3 linked regions of the Rhinolophus ferrumequinum genome follow. The protein of the gene in region 2 interacts with the protein of the main gene of each other region in a biochemical or structural test. Links are inferred from orthologs where the notes say so. Each region holds a gene or a part of one and is shown on either strand. Other genes may lie near its edges.

What was found.
Region 1: the proteins of MYOG (region 2) and CSRP3 form a complex in vitro, tested with the Homo sapiens proteins (2 studies listed by BioGRID and IntAct, with this or other methods). The link is inferred for Rhinolophus ferrumequinum from reciprocal best matches to the Homo sapiens genes MYOG and CSRP3.
Region 3: the proteins of MYOG (region 2) and SRF form a complex in vitro, tested with the Homo sapiens proteins (2 studies listed by BioGRID and IntAct). The link is inferred for Rhinolophus ferrumequinum from reciprocal best matches to the Homo sapiens genes MYOG and SRF.

The regions. Positions count from the first base shown.
Region 1 is NC_046294.1:35,019,485-35,026,682, reverse strand, and holds the start of CSRP3 (cysteine and glycine-rich protein 3), read right to left. Parts: upstream 3,023-7,198; 5' UTR 2,906-3,022; intron 1-2,905. UniProt on the Homo sapiens protein: Positive regulator of myogenesis. Acts as a cofactor for myogenic bHLH transcription factors such as MYOD1, and probably MYOG and MYF6.
Region 2 is NC_046310.1:75,022-82,746, reverse strand, and holds MYOG (myogenin), read right to left. Parts: upstream 3,057-7,725; coding exon 2,508-3,056; intron 1,843-2,507; coding exon 1,761-1,842; intron 1,211-1,760; coding exon 1,089-1,210; 3' UTR 498-1,088; downstream 1-497. Other genes in the region: PPFIA4 (liprin-alpha-4), read left to right, coding at 3,724-3,779. UniProt on the Homo sapiens protein: Acts as a transcriptional activator that promotes transcription of muscle-specific target genes and plays a role in muscle differentiation, cell cycle exit and muscle atrophy.
Region 3 is NC_046286.1:12,581,981-12,589,582, reverse strand, and holds the start of SRF (serum response factor), read right to left. Parts: upstream 3,033-7,602; 5' UTR 2,695-3,032; coding exon 2,170-2,694; intron 584-2,169; coding exon 317-583; intron 1-316. UniProt on the Homo sapiens protein: SRF is a transcription factor that binds to the serum response element (SRE), a short sequence of dyad symmetry located 300 bp to the 5' of the site of transcription initiation of some genes (such as FOS).

The sequences.
Region 1 (7,198 bases), on a different chromosome or scaffold from region 2:
AGCCTGAGAAGTATAGGTTGCTTATTCTCAGCACAGAAATAAACCCAAGTGTTGGCTCTCATCCCTTTAAAACTTAGACACGGTAGGCACGTCTGCCCATTACACTAGGGCTGTCACATGCAGGTCATATTACATCTTTTCTTAAGTTATCTCTGAAGTGTGGCTGACTTTTACTCTCAGAAACTCACTGTGTTCTATTTCGCCCTTTGTAATTTGTGTTTAAAGATCACATTGCACCCAGGGTTACAACCTGACTCTGTCACTTTCTAGCCATGTGTGTGACCCTTAACAATTATTTTGTTTCCTTGACCTTTTGTTTCTTCCTCGAAGAATGACTTCTAGCATGGCTCATTGTGACAGTTAGATAAGCTAATATTGTTTCCTGCCTTCACAGGTCAGTAAACAACCAACAGATCATGATTAACCCTTTCCCATGATGTGGTTCTTATTCAGGCTCAGAGTAGGTTTCCAGCCTCCGCGGCCCTCGAGACAATCATTGTCTTCCTTCCTGCTTTTCTTTGCTGCAATGAATAACTACAGTTTTTCACATTTGAAGGCATCGCATTTCTCTCTGTCCGTGAAGCCCCACCCTGGATACGGTATTCGCAGACATCTGAGCAGCGTGCTTGTAATTGGAAGTCTGCCTGCCGCAGGAGTTGTATTTCTGTGTATTATATTCCTAGTCTGGATCCTTCCTCTTGTAAAACAAATTAATCATGTAACACCCGATTGGCTTGTTATTCACTCTGACCTCTGGACTTTTATCGTCACCACCCTCATACTTAGCAAGAAATCCTCCTGCAGTCTGTCAGGTTTGGTCCTGTGCCTTTTCCCAAAGGCCTTGCATATTTGTACAGTTTTATTAAGCTTTACGAAGTACTTTCCTACACTTTATCTCATTTGATTCTAAAAAATCCCTTTGTGATAGATGGCATTACCTTAATTTTAATGCTCAGAAAATGGAAACTCAGAGAAGTTAAGTGATGGTCAGAGTGAGAATTTGAATTGCCTCTATGACTGATGCTTTTTATTTTCTTCTATCTCTTTCTTCAGGTTCCCAGGATTTCTGAATTTGTATTCTACCAAGAATCTGTATCTACTTTTGCCAATAGGATTGTGGCTACTGATTTGCCTGTTGAATGATCCTGCTTACTCTTCCTCAGTCTTTCTCTCTGTTTCTCTTTCCATCCTGCCCCCTGGCCTGCCTACCCTTTCTCTAATGGATGGCCTGTGCATGCGGGCTGTAGATCACCTGTCTGCCTGGGCGGGAGAGGACACAGAGCCCTGGGGGTCGGGGGCACTCCCTGCCAGTAGCCAGGGCTCATTTTAAGGACCGGGTGGTTCAGAATGGAACCAAAGCCAAGCAAGAAGAATCCCTTACATTTTCTGGGTCATTAAGCAGCGATTAATTGGACGTACCCAACATTGAGATTCAGCCCCCAAAATAATATCCTGAGGACACAGGCTATTTCTATTTCCCCCCCTTCCTGCTGTTCATGCCCATTCTCCTCTGCGTTGTGTTAGGGCTGCCTGGGCCTCCCCAGCCCAGACACAGGAGATGGTCAATGCAAGCTCACTGAATTTCATTGCATTGTACTGCAGAGAAACAAGCTTTCTCCCAACTGGTTCATCTATCTTCTGCTTCTTGGGTGAATCACTGTCCCAACTCAGGGATGGGAACAGAAATTAGAGGCGGTAGCTTTGATCTTTGGACAGCATCTCCGCTCAGACCACCCCTTAAAACCACTTCTCAATTCTCAGTCACACTCATGCCTGTCATTCACTGGGATGTTTAAAAAAAAAAAAAAAAATCCTGGACTAAAATCTAGAGGAAATACTGGGAATCACCCCCTCATCCCCAGCTGGGAATTACCCTCCCACTAAACAGAGCTTTTAATGGATTTTCAACATACCATGTTTCCCAGAAAATAAGACCTAGCCAGACAATCAGCTCTAATGAATCTTTTGGAGCAAAAATTAATATAAGACCTGGTCTTATTTTACTATAAGACCCGGTATAATATAATATAATATAATATAATATAATATAATATAATATAATATAATATAATATAATATAATATAATATGTAATATAATGTAATGTAATATAATATAATACCGGATCTTACATTAATTTTTGCTCCAAAAGACGCATTTGAGCTGATTGTCTGGCTAGGTCTTATTTTCGGGGAAACACGGTAGCAATGTCTTTTTCAGATCCTGTTTTGATTAATTTAAATTATTAATGCAAGCCTGTTGCTGAACATCCTTGGGATATAAAATTCACTTTAAACTAACAAACTTGAATGAGTATTTCCTATGTGCAAGACAGTGTATGGTGAACTGTAAAAATGTCAGTCATTCACTCATAACTTTGGAATAGCATAGACTCCTTGTATTTTGAGCACTGGAAAGCTGGAGTCTGCTGTATTGTCTCTATTTGCCACTTTGTAACTATGCAGTACTTTATAGTTTAGAAAAATGTTACCACATCCATATTGATCCTTGCAAAAAAGACTAAGAACATGAGGGCAAGAACTTTCTCAAAGTCACACATCCATTCATTATGTAATTCTAGGTTGAGAATGCAGGTCTTTTGACTCAAACAACAGGAAACATTCCACCATGAAAATAGTTTTAGACCAAAAATAATCCTGTACTCATTTCTCTGTGAGGTTCCCTCAAACCCCCAAATGTCAATCACCCTTTTAGGAGTTTTCGAAACAACTGCTAAGCCTACATCAGAATCCGGCATAACTTGAGTCTCCTCACATAGAACCAGAATGGAGGATGGCATGTGGGATGTGACACGCACCCTTACTCTATGGGACCTTTCATAGTACCAACCAGCCACCAAGCCAGCAGCCCACCCACAGCCCAAACACCTGCTTCGCTCCGCTTACCTGCCTGGGTGGTCTCTGTCAGCTCAACTGAGTGAAAAGGGGGACTCTCCTCCTCTTTAAATATATGGAGGCCGTCACCAGCCTTGGCCTGTGGAGGAAAGGGCGGGAGGGAGGCTGAGGGGAGAGGGGGAATGAGACACGAGAAACACAACTGCTATCAGAGGCTGAAAATAGCCTGTGACCAAAGCCCTGAGTTTTGTTCCACCCCCCCCCACCCGCACCCCCACGCCAGCTGTGAGGCCCTTGGAGAACAAAATTGCTTGGGTTCTGTTTTAATTGCCAATCACCCATGGCAACAAGGGATCAATTTGTGGCGGGTAAATTTCTGACCAAGTGGTTGGCACAGGAACAAGAACAAAGAATTTTGTGTCTAAAATCATTTTTCCAGGCTGCTCCTCCCCTGACCTTTCTGGAAATCAACGTGAGGTACCTGAAAATGAATCATGAGCCCTATCTGGGAGCCCTCTGGAACTCCAAGCCACAGGTCAGTACACTCGTGAAGAGAACTCAGAGCTAAAAATAAGAGTGATGGGTGTCCGAAACGATACTTAGATAATCTCTTCAAAGAAGCTTGGGGAGAAAGGTCAGCTGATCATCAGGGTCCTGTCACTCCACAGCCTGCCATCTTATGAAGAACAGTTTTCTCTCAAAAGTTTTGAGTTACTTTGCTCATCATCTGTCTCCACTTAAGAATTTAACATAACAATGCATTGTATGTATGGCAAGTCTTGATAAGTCTCTGTGAACTCACATTGTCTTTGGAGGTCTAATTTCTCTTTGCCTGGTCTGTACATATTTTTGGCTTTGATCAAGCATCAAGGACTCATGAATTAGAGAATTTGATAGTTGACAAGAAGTTCGGAGATTTAATAGACTAATTCTTGTTAGTCTTTATGTTGTGGCTGATCTAACCGAGGCAGCTAACTTGTTCAAGGCCAGACAATAAGTCATTGGCAGATTCCACATTGAAATTTAGCCACATTGCAATTCAGGTCATTTGTCTCTCAGGTGAAGGTGCTTTCCACTAGGGTTGACCTGAACGCTGAGGTTGGGTGTAGGAAATACCTACATGAGGGGGATATAAAATCCAGCCTTGCAAATCAGCCGTATTAGCCCTTTAGTTACACGCACACAGGAAACAGTAAAAGAGTTGAGAAATGGAATATTTCACTATAAAGGAGATCATGGTAATTTCACAAATATAGACACAGCCCAACCTCCTATGAGATATCCTTGGCCTATGCGTTGCAAAAATGTATTATTGCAAAGGAAAATAGTGAATACTCTAGAATGTTAAATTTAGAAGGGACTTTAGAAGTCTCCTAGGATAGCAGCTTTCAAATTTCATGTTTTTTTTTTTTTAAAAATGATAATACTTTTTTCTATAGATATTAAATGGAACATCAATATATAAAGCAGATAAAAGGATTTCCATGCTTGAAATAAACAGGGGGTCTAGTAGTCACTCACATAGCCTTTGCCTGAACCCACAAAGTGGCTTCTAAAATACTTTTTAGGAACAAAATTTTAAAGTCATAAGTATGGCCCACCACTTTTATTTTATACATACAGATATTAAGGTCCACAGAAGAGATTTATTTGCTCAAGGGGAGATGCAATGTATACAACAGAATTATTTCTGGAGCCAGAAATCTGGGTTTGACTGATGTGTCTGACACTTAAAAAATGTTTTCTAGTTACACAAGTAACACAGGAATGCACTTTTACTGTGAAAGACTAAACAATAATGATGTATTTAAGGTAAAATGTACAAGTGCCCTCCCACAATCCTACTCTCCTTTCCAGAGTTAATAACTGACAATATTTTCGGTTTTACTAACTTGAGTCATCTTTTAAAAGGGGATTTTAGTTCATTCACATTTATTGTGATTTTGGATACATATGGACTTATTCCTTTCATCTTATTTTATGTTTTATTTTTATAACGGTTCTTTTTTCTTTTCTGGCCTTCTAATAATAGTTTACTTTGTGCTGTGTTTTTCTCTTATGAGTTAGAGAAGATTCTCTTCCTCTAGTTTATAAACTAATGCCACAATGAATATATGTTTTTATTAACATATAGATTTAATTGGTAGCCATTTTCTGTTTTCTTCCGTGAAATGAGAAACTTACAGAACCTCAGCACACTTTCACCATCATCACGTTGCCCTCTTCCTTCACCTTGACCTTGTAATTACACACCTGCCCACCACCCCCCATGTGTGGATCATCTGGGATTTTAGTTCCAGGTTGTAATTAGGTTTGCTCATTATGCATCTGTAGTTATTTAAACCTAATTATAAAGTTGACTGCTTTCTTCATTCAATTACTATTTCTTGTATGATTTTTGTATCTTACATTTTTAAGTGAGAGAGAGAAAGAGAGAGAATGGATTCTTAATGAATTAATTGAAAGAGTCTGCTGGAAATGAACAAAAATCTCACACCATTGGAAAGGTCTTCCTATTAATTTGCTAGACTGCCATAACAAACACCGTACACTGGGTGGCTTAAACAACAGAGATTTATTTTCGCACACTTTCGGAGGCTAGAAGTCCAAGACCCAAGTATCAGCAGGGCTGGTTTCTTCTGGGGCCTCTCTCTTTGGCTTGTAGATGTCCATGTTCTCCACACGCTTTCGTAAGGTCTTCCTCCTCTGGTATCTGTGTCCTAATCTCTTCTTCTAAGGACACTGGTCATGATGGATTATGGCCCATTCACATGACCTTATTTTGCTTTTAAAGGAACTGTCTTTACATACAGTCACATTGTGAGTTACTGGGGTTTAGGACTTCAGTATATGAATATGGGGGAAACACAATTCAGCCCATGACAGTTTTAATTTTGCCTAACACTTGAATGCTACTTCAACCGTCTCTAGAGTTGTACTGTCCAATATAGGAGCCAGGAGTCACATACAGTTATTTATAGTGAAATTATTTAAAATTAATGAAAATTAAAAATTCAGTTCCTTAGTCATAGCAGCCATATTCCAAATGCCCACACTTGGCTAGTGCCTGCGCACTGAACAGCATAGATATAGCATGTTTCCATTCTTACAGAAGTTCTCCTAGGACTGCTTTAGAGCTTTTTCCTCTGAAAAATGAAGCAAGTCCATTTTGGATTCTATGACGAACAGATAATATTAAGCATGTGTTGGATGCATAACAGGGTGCTCAGTCGATATCAGCTGAATGTTGACTCAGCTGTAAATAAATGACAGTATTAGAACTGGAACCCACCCTTTCTGTCCCATCGTTCCCCCAGAAGAACCATCAGTGAGTAAACTATTGATAAATATAGGGCATAAAGAAGCTCAGAAAAGAGAGGGAAGTGGGACAATGAGGGTAATCTTAAATCCATGCCTTAAAACACTACTTTTATACCCCAAATCAGAATAAACATTATTCTATTTAATCCTCATAAAAACTTGGTAAAGAAGGTATTATTTTACCCATTGTCCGAATGAGGAATGAAATAAATGCAACTCAGGAAGGCTAAGTAACCCCTCCCAGGCCACACAGTTGAGTCAACAATGAGTCAATGTCAATGTCAGAACTGGAATCCACTGCTTTCTCCTCTTCATGCCTCTAGAATAACTAAAAACTGGTAAGTCATTGGGAAACACAGATCACTCAGGTGACAGAGAAATTTAAACCAGATCAGACTCCAAACCCCTTCTACAACAGTGGTTCCCAAAATTGTTTGACCGTTAGTAAACATCTTTGAGCAATATACACATATACATACATAGGTATATATGTGTATTTTTAAAATAAATTATAAAAATTACTGTAATATTATACATTATGAAACATACGCAAGACTATATGCTACAAATATAAAAGTAAATATAATAAAAGTTCCAATTCATTTTCTCATTCTCCAGTATTGTTTCACATGCTTCCTCAGGCGCTGGTCCCCCTTCCACTTTGGAAATCAGTGCTATAAACGATGCCATACAAAGGGGGAATATGCCATAGAAGAACTCACAGGCCTGGGAATCTCAGCTTCCATCTGCTCATCCAAACCTCTCTGAAAAGAAGCATGACTGGACCTTAATGTATTCAATATCACTCACATTCTTAGAGTAACCAGGGCTTTTCACTATGTCTATGCACCCGTGGTCTGACATTTGCCCTTGGCTCTTATTTCAAAGAGAGAATTAATTTAAAACTATCACTCAGAGGTTGCTCCTGGTCATGTGTCTCATGCATGAAAGGCAGAGAAATGGGCAAATGCAATGCTTAAATGCATCAAGATGCTTCTTTTTCCTCGAGAGATAAAAACAAAC
Region 2 (7,725 bases):
GCTCCTCCTGGTAGTGTCATACGAGGAGTGGCGGGAGGCGAGGGGAAACCCCCGATTCCAGCTCCACCCTGCCCACTCGCCGAGGATGGCACGTGAGCGTGGTCGGGTCCTTGGAGGACCTGTTGGGACGTAAGACGCAGTGAGCAGGTCCGTGAGACAGAGTGCAGTGGACACTCAGCCGGCTTGCCTGTGTGTCCCACAGGGTTTCTGTGGGCAAGGCTTCCTCTGAAGGGTAGAAAGAGCAGGGGCCCAGCGCCCCACCAGTGCCAGCCCTTGGATGCCCGGCCCTGGGGAGCGTTTGGACTGGGGGGAGGACCCCCTCCCTCTACATCATCACGACACTCTTCTAGCACCCAGTCTTTATTCATTTTTTAAAAAAGGAAATCCAAATAAGTTAGCAAAAAACAAATTACAAAACAATTGCAAAACCACACGATGCTTAGTTAACAAAAGAAATCACCCCCAGACACCCCCCACCCCCACCTGTCCCTGGCAACTTCGAACAGGACACCTTGGTCAGATGGCAGCTTTACAAACAACACACAAAACAAAACAGAACATGAAAGCACGGGAAGCTTCCCAGTAGTCACTGCAGAAGCTTGGCCCCCAGGGACTTGGGAACAGGGGATTGTCCCTTTCTTCTCTCTCACTTGAGGGCAGGCCCAGCCCAGCCACTGGCATCAGGAAGAGATGGGGACAGGAGGTGTGCACAACTCGTCCAGGGCAGGACACTGACGTCGTCTCTGAGATCCTGGGGGAGTGGAGCTGGGGGCTGTGCTGTGATCAGCGCGCAGGTCCTGAGTTGGCCCCCGGCCAGGGGCGTACACGAGGGGCGCTCTGGTCCCCTGCCTTAGCTTCCTGGAAATGGGGTGCCGGTGCTCTGTGGAGTCAGCTAAGTGAGAACGTCCGTTCCCTCTCTGGGCGGAGGGTGAACCTTCTGTAGATGAGGGGGAAGGCTGGCATTTGGCAGCCCCACGGCTGGCTTCCTGGCATCAGGACAGCCGGGCTAAGGAGGCTCCTGCTGCCCACGTGGTGGCATCTGTGGCCAGCTGGGGGGCCCTCCCGGATGCCCGGCCTGGCAGACAATCTCAGTTGGGCATGGTTTCGTCTGGGAAGGCCACAGAGACGTCCTCCACCGTGATGCCATCCACAATGGAGGTGAGGGAGTGCAGGCTGTGAGCGTCTGTGGGGTCAGCTGTGAGCAGGTGGTCTGTAGGGAGAAGGTGGAGGCTGTTCCCCGGGCAGTGCAGGGGGTTCCAGGACCCAGAATGAGATGAGCAAGCGTAAGGAGCCCCACTGCCAGCCCTTGCCTTTCCCGGCCGTGTGCATAAGTACCATGCCCCCCCCCGGACACCCCTAGTGGGATTGGGACCTGCAAGCCGCTGTTCCAACTGTGTGGCAGGTGGAGGTGGGGCCAGGATGGTGTTTCCTGGGAGACGGACTGCCCTTGCAGGCCCAGCTGTGTGGCACTGACTCAGTGATTCCCAGGGAACCCTGGGGCAGGGACTGTCTCCTGCCCGTGGAGATGAGCCACCAGCCACCAGATGGGGAGCAGCAGGAGGCTGGGGCTGCTTTGGCCTGGTCCAGACTTCAGGGAGGCACAGGACCGCCCAGTCCACCATTTGGGGCCCTGGGCTCAGCAGGTCCCTGGAGAGGCCAAGGGAGGAAGACTGGAGCAGGGAACAAAGTAAGGGGACAGTTGTGCCTGGAGCCAGGCTCAAGGGTTGGAGCCAAGGTCAGCCGGGTCCCAACACACTTACCACCTGCGTTGGGGCCGAACTCCAGTGTGCTGCCCCACTCTGGACTGCAGGAGGCGCTGTGGGAGCTGCATTCACTGGGCACCTGCGAGGTGGCGAAGGCGAAGGTCAGGCCCCCTGTGCCTGGTGGTGTCTTCTGTCCAATCCCAGGGAGCTGAGACTCCTGGGCCACCCCCACCCCCACCTGGAGTCTTCACAAGCAGCTCCTTTCATGGCCCCGCCTGGCCACAGAGCCCCTGCTTCCAGGCCTGCCCTGGCCTCCGTCCTGGGTGGGGATTCTGCCCTCACTGGACACCAGCTCCAGGGGTCTGTGCTTCTGTCCCTGGGACAGGGTGGAGGGGGCAGAGTGTCTGGCCCCAGCAGAGCCTCATCTGAGCAGCTGCTGGGGCTCCAGGAGACACTGCTTCTCTCCGCTGAGCCCCACCCAGGGCGGGGCCCGGTGGGGGCAGAGCCACGCACTGCGTCCTCTGTGTGCCTGGCCTGGCCTTTGGGGCGCGTCCCCAGGCACTGGCACGAATTCTCACCTCCACCCCGGCTGGCTCTGGTCTTGCGCCTTCAGTTTTCTGCCACCCACCCCCACCACTGCCTCTCCTCCCGCTGCCTCTGTCTCCTCTGGAAAGGACACGGGGACACGGTGGGAGGTCAGCGGGACAGCCCAGTTCTGACAGTGCCTGCCTGGCACCTGCTCTCACAGCCGACCCAGCCTCCCCATGGGGTGCCCTCCCTGGGCGGGCGGTGGGAGCCACTTACCCCTGGTGGGGGCCCGCCGCCTCCCCGGTGGTAGCGCAGCTCACGCTCCTCCTGGCTGAGGGAGCTGAGCAGGGCCTGCAGGCGCTCGATGTACTGGATGGCGCCACGCAGGATCTCCACCTTGGGCAGCCGCTGGTTGGGGTTCAGGAGGGTGCTTCTCTTCAGAGCCTCAAAGGCCTCGTTCACCTTCTTGAGCCTGCGCTTCTCCCTCAGCGTGGCCGCCCGCCGCCGGTCCACGGACACCGACTTCCTCTTACACACCTTACACGCCCACGGCAGGCACTGGCCCGGGCAGTGATCCGGGGTCCCCAGACCCTTGTCTTCGAGGGGCCCTCGAGCCTCAGGGCTCAGGCTGAGCTCAGTCCGCTCATAGCACGGCGGCTCAAAGCCCTGGAGGTGGATGGGCAGGTAGTTTTCCCCGTCGTAGAAGTGGGGTTCCTGGTAGAAGTAGGGGGGTGTCTCGTACAGCTCCATGGGGTCGGAAGAGGCTTGTTCCTGCCACCAGCCCCCGAGCTCCTGCAGCCCCTCACGCCAACTGTTAGGTGCCATTTAAACCCTCCCCGCTGGCATGGAACCAGAGATAAATATAGCCAACGCCACGGAAACCCGAGCCCCTCTAAGCTGTTGCTGCACATCAAGAGTTCACAGCGGATTAGATGCAATTCCCTTCTCTCGGCCCGGCCCCCACCCCTCCTGGCCAGCCTGCCCGGGCCGGCCGGCCGGCTCCTGTGCACGGGCAGGGAGGCCGTCCGTTGTAACTTGATTAGTTTTCATTTCTCGGCAGCCCCCATGGGGCAGGGGAGGTGGGGGGAGACACACATTCTCCTCTCATCTGCTCCTTTCAATTACTCCTGGTGGGGGGCTGCCTGCTCTCTCTTTGTGGTCCCAAAGAAGCAGGGTGGGGGGCAAGGAAGGGGTGCGTTTAGGCTGCAAGGGGTCTTAGGTCAACCTGTCCGGCCCCCTGCCTCCTCACAGACTTGAACCAGACTCTGGCAGTCACATGACCCTCTGCCAAAGGGCAAGGCTGCTGCAAATGTGGGGCACGTGCGGGTCAGTGTCCAGGGGCAGGAGGGTCGACACTGGGTTTCCAACACAGCTTTGACATCGTATGTCTCTTAGGTCTCACGTGACTGGGGTTACATCGAGGCAAGAGGACATTTTTGGTCTTGTTCTTTCATGGGGGTTAGTGGCAGTTTTCTCTTTAATATGCCATCAGGGTCACGGAAGCCTACGCGTTGCCGCTGTCCCCACCGTGGCCAGGTCGAGATCTAGTCAGCCCTCTGCCACGTCCTTCGCATTCTGGATCCTCATCTGTCCTCCTATGTTGCCTCCTCGACTGTTTCCTGCCCCACCCCGATGCCAGGATTTTCCTGACTCCTCACTGTGCGTGGAGACAGAGCCCTTCAAACTCAGTAACTCTCCCCTCTTCTCGGCCACCGGGATTGGTTCTGCGTCTTCCTGTCGGAGACATCAGTTTGACACGCATCCTGCACGTCTCACACATCGGGTGGAGGAGGGACGACTTAATCTCTGGACTCCTCAGTCTGTGGTCACCTGTCAACAAAGGCCTTGGGGTCCAAGACGACTAGCGCTCTCCACGCAGTAGGCTGGCCTCAGGGACCAGCAGTGCACAAGGCTCGTCTGAGGGCCAAAAGGTGACAGGAGTGCCCAAGGCAGGGTCTCTGCCCTCCAGGACATTGCCATCTGGTAGACCTGCCAGTCATCTAGTTCTATCCAACCCCCTGCCCCAGTGGCCACTGTCCAGCTTCTGCTGACCTCATAGGGCAGCCCTTTCCATGGACGCACTGGCTGAAGGGAGGCCTTGTGGGTTTCAAAGTGCAATCTGCCTCTTCTGCCCTTTATCCTTTGGTCCCGATTTTTTTTCTAGGACCCCATGCACTAATTCTGACCCCTCCTCCGATGACAGATGAGACTGGTGCTGTCAGTGCCAAAGAGTGGCAAGGATAAGAGAGGAAGAGGAGCTGCGCAGGGGAGATGTCACAGGGGAGCTGAGGTCTGAAGGGAGCGAGAAGGGCCCGGCTTTCCTTCTTCTCATTGTCTATGGGGAGGAGCCAGGAAAATGCTGGTCCTTTTAGGGTGGGGGGGAGGAGACACAGCTGGACACTAAACGTGCTGAGGGGGGCAGTGAGGTCTTCATTTGGCCTCATGAGTGTGATAAAAACCACAGCTCACAACACGGGAGCTGTGGGTTCTAAAGCTTGGTTGGACCCTGATCATCTGGACTTAAGATCCCCCCCAAAAAAGACAAGAGAGAAAGAAAAGTTTGCCTCAGTTTACACCCTAATCCTGTGAGCCCTGAGATAAAAGTGATGTTGAAGTTACTATGGGAACCCAGAAATTGCATCGTTTTGTTCTTTGGGGACCCAATCTGCCTTACCTCCAAACGGCATGTCCACATCCTCTAGAAGTGGGGGCAGGAGAACCAGGCTTGTTCCATGAGGATTTTCAGGATCTTATCAGCTAGATGGCGAGCCTGGACGCAAACGTGAACATTAAGTCACCATTCTACAGAGAGTCATTCGAAGTCAGCAGCAAACATGGGAGTTGTGATCAGCTGCAAATGAGTGGGTTCATCAGACAGGTGTGTCAGGGGCTTGTGGAGAGTCAGACGCTCTGGAGGTCGGGCTGTGCAGAAGGTGCACTGGGCTGGATCCAGGGAAGCCTGGGGCCTGGACGAGAGGGGGAGCAAGGGGAAGGGGGCATTGGGTCCCAGGTATGTAGGGATTCAGGGCTCAGGATGAGCCTGCAAAGACAGGAGGAGGCCTGTGGGCCATGGGGGGACGTGACAGCTGAGGCAAGGAGGCCACACAGAGGACCATGGCTGCATTTCCAGAGCCAGACGCTGAGTCTGAACCTACTTGGGCAGCAGGAGGGTTATACCAGGAGAGGACACGCATTTCAGCTGGCAAAGGGGTGGTATGGTGGTGTGGGGGGTGTGAGGTGTGTGGTGTGAGGTGTGTGGTCTGTGTGGTGTATGGTATGAGGTGTGCAAGGTATGTGAGGTATATGGTGTAAAGTGTGGTTTGTGTGGTGTGAGGTGTGAAGTGTGGTGTGGTGTGAGGTGTGTAGTGTGTGGTATAAGGTGTGGTGTGAGGTGTGTGAGGTGTGAGGTGTGGTATGTGGTGTGGTGTGAGGTGTGGTGTGTGGTGTGAGGTGTGGTATGGTGTGTGGTGTGAGGTGTGGTGTGAAGTGTGAGGTGTGTGAGGTGTGAGGTGTGTGGTGTGAGGTGTGGTGTGGTGTGAGGTGTGGTGTGGTGTGGTGTGTGGTGTGAAGTGTGGTGTGGTGTGTGGTGTCAGGTTGTGGTGTGAAGTGTGTGGTTGTGGTGTGAGGTGTGGTGTGTGTTGTGGTGTGTGGTGTAAGGTATGAGGTGTGGTGTGAGGTGTGAGGTGTAGTGTGAGGTGCGAGGTGTGGTGTGAGGTGTGTGGTGTGTATGGTCTGTGTGTCGATTCATTCCCTCTTTTACCCTAGAAGCATGTATTGCTATGAGCATGGCTGCGGGTTGGTGTCCTGAGTAAGGTGTGCTCTTCCGTGTGCAGTGCTGGCTGTGAGCAGGGAAGATGCACAGGGCGGCTCCCCCAGGTGCTGGAAGAGGAGGCGGGGAGGGCACTGGTGTGCCCCAGGGACACCACCATCCCCGGAGCCCTCTGCAGGCCCTGGGCCCCCACCAGCCTGGGCACAGCCCCTGCCTCAGCTCAGGTGAGCGAGGCCTTCTGTCTGTGTGACCTTTGTCTCTGACCAAACAAGATTGTGGGCTGGAGGTGAGGGTGACCTTGTGTGTCGGGGTTTCAGTGAAACCTTGTCTGGCCAAGTGTTTGTTTCCATCTGTCTGAGTAAGTGACTTGGGGACCATGTCAAGGTCTAGCTCTGGGGCACAGGCCCTCCCAGGACTGAGGAGATAGGGCAGCCCAGGTGTCTCTGACCTCAAAACCCTGATGTGGGGATGTCCCTTCAGCCACTTTGTTCCTCTCTCCGAGCCGAGCTGTGGAGAAGCGGCACCTGGGGGCCTGGCTCTGGTCCCCGTGCACACTGCACCCCCCACAGGCTGCCGTCTGATGGATGGGGACACATTGGTGCCGCACAGAGCGGCCTTTGTGCTCCCAGCAGCGGCGATCCATCAGCTCTAACCTGACAGCAGGGCGTCAAGTCCTAATCCCCACCCCACTGGCCTGGCACACGGCCGGCCCCTGAAGCCGCCCCGGCCGTCCTGCTCCCTCCGATGGAGGCCCCCCCACCGCTGGGGCCCCTGGCCGCGCGCCCCCAGCCCGTGTGCGCAGGCCGCTCTCACGGGCACGCGGTCCTCCCAGTGCCGGGCCCACACCTGCGCCCCGCTCCCCCTGCTCCCTCCGTGCACACACACCCTCTGACTCCCTGCACCTTTCGCCCCGCTGACCTCACAGCGGGGCTGACCTGGGCTGCCAGGTGCCGGCGCTCACCGCAAAGCGTTTCGCATCCCAAAGCGAAGGGGCCGAGCGGGCGGGAGCCTCGGGCCCCTCCGCGCCCCACGGCCACTCCGCGGGGCTGCGCTCCGGCTGCAGCGTGTGCGTCCCCGCGCCCCGCGCGTCAACATGGCCGACAGCAGCGGTCCCGGGGCGGCGGGCGCCGTGCAGCCCGGGGAGAACTGGCCGCAGAGCCAGCCGGGCGGGACGGCAGCCCGAGGGTCAGCTGGCCCACGTCTTCTTGGGAAACTGAGGCCCAGACCAGGGAAGTGACGAGGCCCGGGCGGCGGGGCCCTAGTGCCGGAGCCTGAGGGCGTTGGCTCGCGGTCGCCGGAGCGCAGGCCTCAGGCTGAGTCCCGCCGCCTCCTGGGCCTCGCGCGCGGCCGGCGGTGAAGGAGGTCCTGCAGGTGAGCACGTGCTCGGCAGGTGGGCCGCAGGTGACATCGGAGAAGTAGTAACGGGGACGTGAAGGTGGAGGGTGAGAGGCAGCCGGCTGGGGTGGCGCGAGCCTGAGGCCCTGAGGGCCGGGGGTCGGCCGGGCGGCGCGGGGCGGGGGGGCCGGGCCTCGGGAGACCCCACGTTGTTCGCATGGAGGACAGAGCAGCCGATAGGCCCCGCAGGTGCGCGTCCGGGCCGCTGGGACTCTGGAGCTCAGAGCCAGGCTCGGGCCGGGGCCTGGGGAAGGTGCGGCCTGGAGGCGAGAAGGAAGGGCCCCTTGGGGCGTGGGTCTCACGGGGAGGTGACCGGTGCACGCAAAGCAC
Region 3 (7,602 bases), on a different chromosome or scaffold from region 2:
CGGGGAGACAGCTGGCGGGAGGAATGCAAGGGCCCTGCCAGGCAGGCGGGCTGCAGGCGGGAGGCCGGCGTGGAGCCGGAGCCGGCCTTATATGGGCACGGAGGCCGCCCGCTTATCTAGGGGGCCAGCCTCCTGTCAGGATAGCGAGGATGGACACCTGTCCCCTAGGATGAGGGGTACTAACCGGGCTCCACTCCACATCAGTGGGCACTTAGCACCTGTCCTTGGTGAGGGAGAGAGAGAGAGACCCCCCTCCCCTTCCCTCTGCCAGTCCAGTCCCTCCCCTTCCTTCCCCTGATAGGGGACGCAAACACACCTTGGTCTCCCCACTGCTGTCGGACTCCGACACCTGGTAGGTGAGGTCTGTCTCTTCAAAGCCCGTGGCACTCATTCTCTGGTCTGTGGTGGGGTCTGAGCGGGGTGGAGAGTCTGGCGAGTTGAGGCAGGTCTGAATCAGGGCCTTGCCAGTCTCACTGGTGATCATGGGCTGCAGTTTGCGGGTGGCAAAGGTATACACATGGCCTGTCTCACTGGCCACCAGCAACAGCACCTGTGTCCCTGTCAGCGTGGACAGCTCATAGGCCTGGGGGTAGGGGGAGGAGACGGGTAGGTCAGCAAAACTCTTCACCTCTACCTTCCTTGGGAAATAGGAGAGGAAATACACAGTGATTTCAAGCCCCCACTCCCATAAGACCGTCCTCTCCAGTGATTCTAAGGGGGTCCTATCAGGATATCTGAAAGTGAGATGGAAAGCAGAAAAACCCCATGTTTTGGAGCAGCTCCTGCAGATACCGCAAGCAAACAATCACAGCCCCCTGGTGACATCTAACCTCAGGAGACACAGAGACCCAGGTAGCTGCTTCTCACTACAACTTGGTGCCCTCACAGACAGATGGTTTCCACCCCCTCCTCACTGTCAGCGGGACCAGTATGAACTCACTCCTATACCGGAAATCATATAAGACATTAGGGATAAGGGGCCACCCAAGCTCTAAAATGCCCCGTTTCTTCCCATAAACTGCATAGGTGCTAACCTGTTGCCATTTTGTCCTTCTGCCCTATCATAGTATGCTACCCTTTTTTTTTCTTCCTTTGTCTTGATACAACAATGTCTGCAGTGATGGGAGATGGGGGCTAGATTTGCAGCTACTGCCCTGCCATGAACTCAGGAAGGGGACCCCATAGATGGCATCCTCATTCCCAACAAAGTTCCACAACCCACCTTGGAAGCAGCTCTGATTTCTGTATGGGACAGATAAACACCAGCCAATGTTCCCAGGGTTCTAGCTTCTTGTTTCCCAGTTCCTTTGCTTCCATGCCTTCCCACATCTTATACACCCTAAGACAACTCTTTTCCTCACCCCTTTCCACTGGATAATCGGCTATATAAGAGGAGGATACCTCTACATACCTCAGCAAACTCCCTGCCTTCCCACGAAACTCCATGCACCAATTCTCCCTAGGGCTGGAAATGCCACTTGTCCGAAAGACAGATGATTCTGAAGCCTGTCCTGCAGGGAGTGTGCGGGCTTCCAGGGGATGCATGGAAGATGCATGGCCATAGCAGGACTTGGTTTGGTACCTGCTGCTCAGGGCACCATCAGTTATCCTGCCCTGCTCCCTTACCTGGGGCTCTTGAGCCCCATTCCGTCATCAGCCCTCCTGTCCTTCCAGCCAGCACTACTTCAGTAGTGCCCACCTTCCTCCCACACATGCTCGCTCATTGTTGTTATACTGCTCCAGCCTCCTCACCTCCATACCTTTTCTTCTGCTACCAGCTTTTCCAGCGCCCTTCCCAGAACACCAGAGCCCACTGGACCTACTGACCGAGGGGTTTCGTTAAGCACCCCCGGGGCAGCCTCGCAGTCTCATTACCTTTCCTCACCCCTTCACACTCTGCAAGGGCTCTGTTCCTCTCTCGGCCCCGTCACTCCCACCTTGGCGCCTTTACCCTCTTTTCCGGACGTTAGCAGCATCTCCCCTCTCCCCACATTTCCCTGGCGGCCCCTCCCCTTTCACCCTACCCGGGTAACAGTCATCCCCTCCCACACACCTCCTGCGGACTCGCCGCCTCTCACCTCCGCTTCGGCTCTGCCTTCCTCTCCAGTTCCCCCTGCGAGTCCCCACCCTCCCGGTACCCCACGGTCCGCCAGACTCCCGGTCCGGTACCTTCTTCATGATGCCCGTCTTCCTCTTGCTGAAGGTCGTGTAGCGCCGCAGCTTGTTGTCGATGAACTCCATCTTGATCTTCACGCGGCCGCGAGTCTTCTTACCCGGCTTGGCCCCGCTCACCGCGCCGCTCACCGGCCCATAGCCCCCGGTGGCTGCTGCCGCCGCCTCGGGCCCACTGACCACCATGCCGATCTCCATGTCGCCCAGGCTTCGCTTCAGGCCGCGCCGCTCCGCGCCCAGCTCCTCCTCCTCGCCCGACTCCGAGTCGCCCTCGCTGCCGCTGTAGAGGGCCCCCGCGGTGGGCGCCGGGGTGGTTGTCGCTGCTACTGCAGCCTCCCGCTCGAAGCGACCGGGCCCGAGCCCCGCGCCGTTCCCGGGGACCCGGCCCCCGTTAGCCCCGCGAGTCCCGCCGCCGCCACCGCCACCACCAGCGGGCCGCCCCGTCGGGGTCCGATTCAGGCTGCCCCCCAAGGCCGAGCCCCGGCCCAGCGCCGCCGCGGCCCCAGCTTGGCTCGGTAACATGGCGCTCAATGCAGGAGGGCGGACGGGCAGTCAGCGAGGAATCGGAGCCGCCGCCGCCGCCGCCATCGGCTTCCCGGCTCAACCCGGCGCTCCCGCTGCTGCTAGTGCCGCTATCGCTGCCGCCGCCGCCGCTGCGAACCCGGGGCCCCTGCACGCCCCGGCCGACCTGGGCCCTCACTTTCCTGCCCCTGTGGCCCGGGTTGCCCCAGGCTGCGCGGAGCGCCCCCTGTCCGTATGCTACGGCGGCGCGCCCGGCGGCCGTCAGCGTCCCCCCGGGGGCAGAGGCTGCTGGCCGCGGCGGGGACGGCGGGTGGAGGGGGCCGGGACCACGCGCAGGCGGCGAGGGATCCCCCGACCCTTCCCCCCATATAAAGAGATACAATGTTTCCTTTTATGGCGAGGCCGCTCCTTATATGGTGAGCCCCTGCGTTCCCGCCCCATTGGTCCGCTGTTCCGGCAACTCCGCTCCCTATTGGCCCATAGGGGGCGCCTATTTGCATAGACATACCGAACTCGTTGCAGTCATCCCGCGTCAGCGGGCGACTCCGAAAGGGGAGGAGCCGACGCCTCTTAAAGGAACAGGAGAGGAGGTACGACTCCGCCCCCCTACCAGAGAGAATTGGGAGGGACCTGCGGAGAGGAAGCCTAGGAGGAGACTGGAGCGCAATCTTGCGGAGAAGAGGGAGCCGCACTGGGAACTGGGCTTTGGAAGGGCTGGAAGCAAACACTGGGGTAGTTCCTGAGTGGAATGTGCGGACGGCAGTAAATGATATAATACAGCCCAAATTCCAAAGGAGTGCGGGGATTGGAGCACTCACCCACTCCTTCCTGAGGGAGGCAAAGTTACTCGCGGAAGTAGCGGGGGCTTGGGTCCCTGATGTCCAGACTCGTCGCGCCCCCGCCACTCGGCTGCAACCCTTCCCCTCCCCCCCGACTTCCTTTCCCTTTCCCTCTCTTTTAAAGGCGACACTTTCCCACCAGGCCGGCTCCCCGGTCCTCATTCATCATCCTCTATACTGGGTAGGTCTCTGGCAGACGTACATCTGGAAAAGACCGGAGAGACAGTCGGCCTCCGCGTCCCAGTTGGGGGAAGGGAGAAGAGCTGGAGATCAGTGAAGACTTCCAGCTGCGCGCTGGGCTGGGGGAGGGGGTGGTTCCAGGGAGAAAGCCCACCCTTCAGTCGGTGCAAAGGCCTGGGAAAAAGTGTAGCCGAGGAGAAAGTTTAAGCAAGCAAACGCAAACATGCGCGCGCGCGCCCTTCTCTGGAAAGCCAAGGAAAGCCCACAGGATAAAAAAAACTAGGGTGCCGAAAAGGCCAGGTTCAGGGTCTAGGTCTGGATCTGAGCTCCAAGTCTGTGAAAATAGCTTGGGCTGTGCTCTTACAGAAATTATTCAAATCTGGAATCTGCTTCTTCCTAGCCCTGTGCTGGAAATAAGTGTTGAGCTCTCCAAACGCCATGTTCCTCATTGTTGGTACCTATCCCACGGGATTCTTAAGGCAGATTAAATGAGATACAGACTAAAGCGCGGAGTATGTAAGTGGTCAGTGAATAGTTAATAGGAGCTACCTGGGACAATCACCTCATTCATGGGATAAACAAACTCTGGTGTTTAATAGGATGGGAGAGGGTAATGATTCCTACCTTAAAAATTGTTGGGAAGATGAAGTGGTAGTGAAATCAATTTAGTGTACTGCAACCGGCATTTAAAATAAATTAATGGGTATCACAAAAAGCAAGCGTAAATATTGTTGCATAAAAATTGTTTGAATTATTTCCAGGTAAACGATATAAAACTTCCATTTTATAGGTAAAAAGGGTGGGTTAGTGTAAATTTCACATGGTTCTACATATTTGTGTACTGGATGGCAATGTCAACTGCCTATCTTACTGTGAGTCACAATCCAAAGACTGAGAAATACTGAAATAAAGTATGTTCAAGTGATTTGTGATATGTGTGTGTATATAATATATATATATATATAATATACACACCTATATTAAAAAATGGGCTTATTCATCAAAATACAGGAATTAAGAGCCTTCCTCTTCCCCATTTTCCAACAGTTTTAAAGAGTTTTTTTCTTTTCCTAATTTAGTCCACACAACAGGTAGTTAAACATATGGAATGTGTTAGCCCAAGAGAAAGGACAGGTCAAATAGATAAATAGGTTCCAGAAGGGCTTCGGGGGCCACAGTTGGTACTTGGGACCGTGATTTGTCTGAGCAGCACAGTCTTACAACCACAGCCCTGGGGTCCATTCCTGCCTGGCTTCTAAAGACTTTTATGTGTGAGACCCCTAGCTTAAAGGCCCCCTCAGCAGTGGCACCCCAGGGGACAACTGCTGCCTGCTGCATCTACAGGGTAGAGAACAGTTCTCAGCTTCCCTTCAAATAGGCTGCTCTCTCTCTGATTTCACCCAACCCTTGGGCCATTGCACACCAGTGTTAGTGCCACAGCACCTTCACCTGCTTGGGATGGCATCATCTTCACAGCTCTTTGTCACCACTGGGGAGTAGGGGTGGGGAGGGGACCTATACCCACACTATATTGGATTACTGTGGTTCCAGAGCCGAAACTGTTGGATGTGGATGAAGTCAAAATCAGACACTGGTTCATCGATGTGTTTTGTTTGGACCGTATAATATCTTTAAATCAGATTTTACATAAAAATCTGAATATCCAGTCTCTCTCAAAAAATTGGAATTTTTAGCCACTCCAGGCCTATGTACCCACAGAACGACAGCCTAGCGCTGAGGTGAATGGTGGCCATAGAAGAGGCATCTGCTCTCAAGTTCACTAGATTCCCTACAGCCCATTGAGCTCAGATAAGTCCCCTGCCTGGCCTCTCTGGAATGTGAGTTTGGTGCTTCTCAGATAAGGCCTAAATCACAGTCGTCCCCTGGAAGATGGGAGCTCACATCCACCCCAGATCATGCACTACCTCCAGAAGGGCAGCGGAATTCCAGCCAGATCCCACCCTGACCTTCATTTCCTTCTCCTGATTGTTATCACCTAAATAATATCGCAACAAAAACTATGGATTGCTTTTAAAAATGACTATAAAGAAATTACCAACACTCTAAAACTATTTTCATTTGTAGTTAACCTTTATGCAGTTATTCTTAACTTGACATAGAAGAGCTCTCGACTGTGATAGCAGCATTACAGGGAATGGAAAGGAAAAGGGGTCATGAACAATTGTCATCCCAATAAACTTTTTAAAAAAAAGAGAAAAGGGGTCATGCATCAGTGTGCCTAGGAAAAATCTGGAAAGCCATGCTCTGAACACTAATAGTGGTAAGCAGCCACTGGAGAGGAGTTTGGGGACTAGAGGAGTGTGTTCTTTGCTTAGATAGAAATCTGTACCATTTGACTTCTTCCATAATCAGTATTACTTTCATACATTTTTTGACTCTTAAAGCAAAGCTATAAACAGGGCAGAGGTCCAATACATGGGTCTTGGTGACGGACTGGATGGGGAGCGGGATCCACAGAGAAGACTCATGATGGACTGAGATTTTGAGTAAGGGTGACTATCCTCCAAACACTGGTACCATTCCTGGAAAGAGGGAACTTGGCTAGAGGAACAGGTTTGAGAGAGAGAGAGAAATTCAATTTGGGCCTACGGCAACAAACAGAGGAAAATGTCCTGTAGGAAATGGGGAGTGTGTGTCTGGAGCTTGAGGCGGAGGCTGGAACTGCAGCTAATACTTTGGGAAGGAACTATCCACACTACAGGGCCAATTAAAGCCACGTGAGGAGAGATGAGAGTCCTGCAGGGGAGACTGTAGAGAGAGGAAGGCCAAGGACAGAATTCAAGAGAACAACAATCTCTGGGGCACGCAGAAGAAGGAAGCCTCAGCTGGGGCTGGCCTGGTCAAAGGAGGGGAACACGGCATACATACCATCATCCAAGTCAAGAGAGGGGAGTCTGCAAAGGCAGCTGTGGCCAGCAATGTTGGCTGCTGCAGTGTGATCAAGCAAGACCACGAGTGAGAAAAGGATCAGGGATTAATGACCTAGAGCAGTGCCTCCCCAGTTCTTCCAAGTGCAACCCATGTTAAGAAATCATTGTTACATCGCAACCTGTGGTGAATTCGATTTTTGCTCCCAATTCTTCACACTCAGTGTTGGAATTAAACAGCCACACCCTTTGCCATGTGACTTTGCAGAACCTACTACTGCTGTTGCTGCGTTTTGACATGTGACATGCTTTGGCCAATAAAATGTTAACAGACTTGTGGTTTTAAATGTGCCTGTGTGATTTGCCTTGACCTCTTGTGCTGCTTCCCCCGCACGAGAGTATGCGCTGAGACCAGTAGAATAGACCCAAACTAGTCCTACAGCCTGGAGCCAACCCCAGCTGAACTCAGCGAGGTCCAGCCAAGATCAGCTGAACCTCACCAATCTGCAGATCCATGAGGGAGAAAAATAAATTGTTGTCAGTGACTGAGATTTGGGGGTTATTATGCAGGATCACCACCCCAATCGCTGACTACTATGTAACCCAGTATACACAAACATGTATCAAATGTTACCAACATTTTGTAAAAGAATACTTACCCTTAAGGTATACAATATACTCTGATAGTTTCTATCACGTTTCATGTTTTTAAAACGCTGGTTGCAACCCACAGTTTGAAAAACACTGCTCTAGAAAAATTTCTTTTTTTTTCCAGTCCAACACACCTGAAGGATGTAACACACTGTATATCAAGTAAGTGGCTCAGTTCCTTGCTGTGTGACCTTGGGGAAACTACCTGGCCTCCCTGGGCCTGCTTCCTAATCTATGAAATGAGAACAGTAACATCTGGCTAACAGAGTAGTTGTGGCGATTACATGAGATAATGAAATAATAATGAGATAATAACGCATGTTAAGTGTTTAGCAAAGTGACTTGGACAG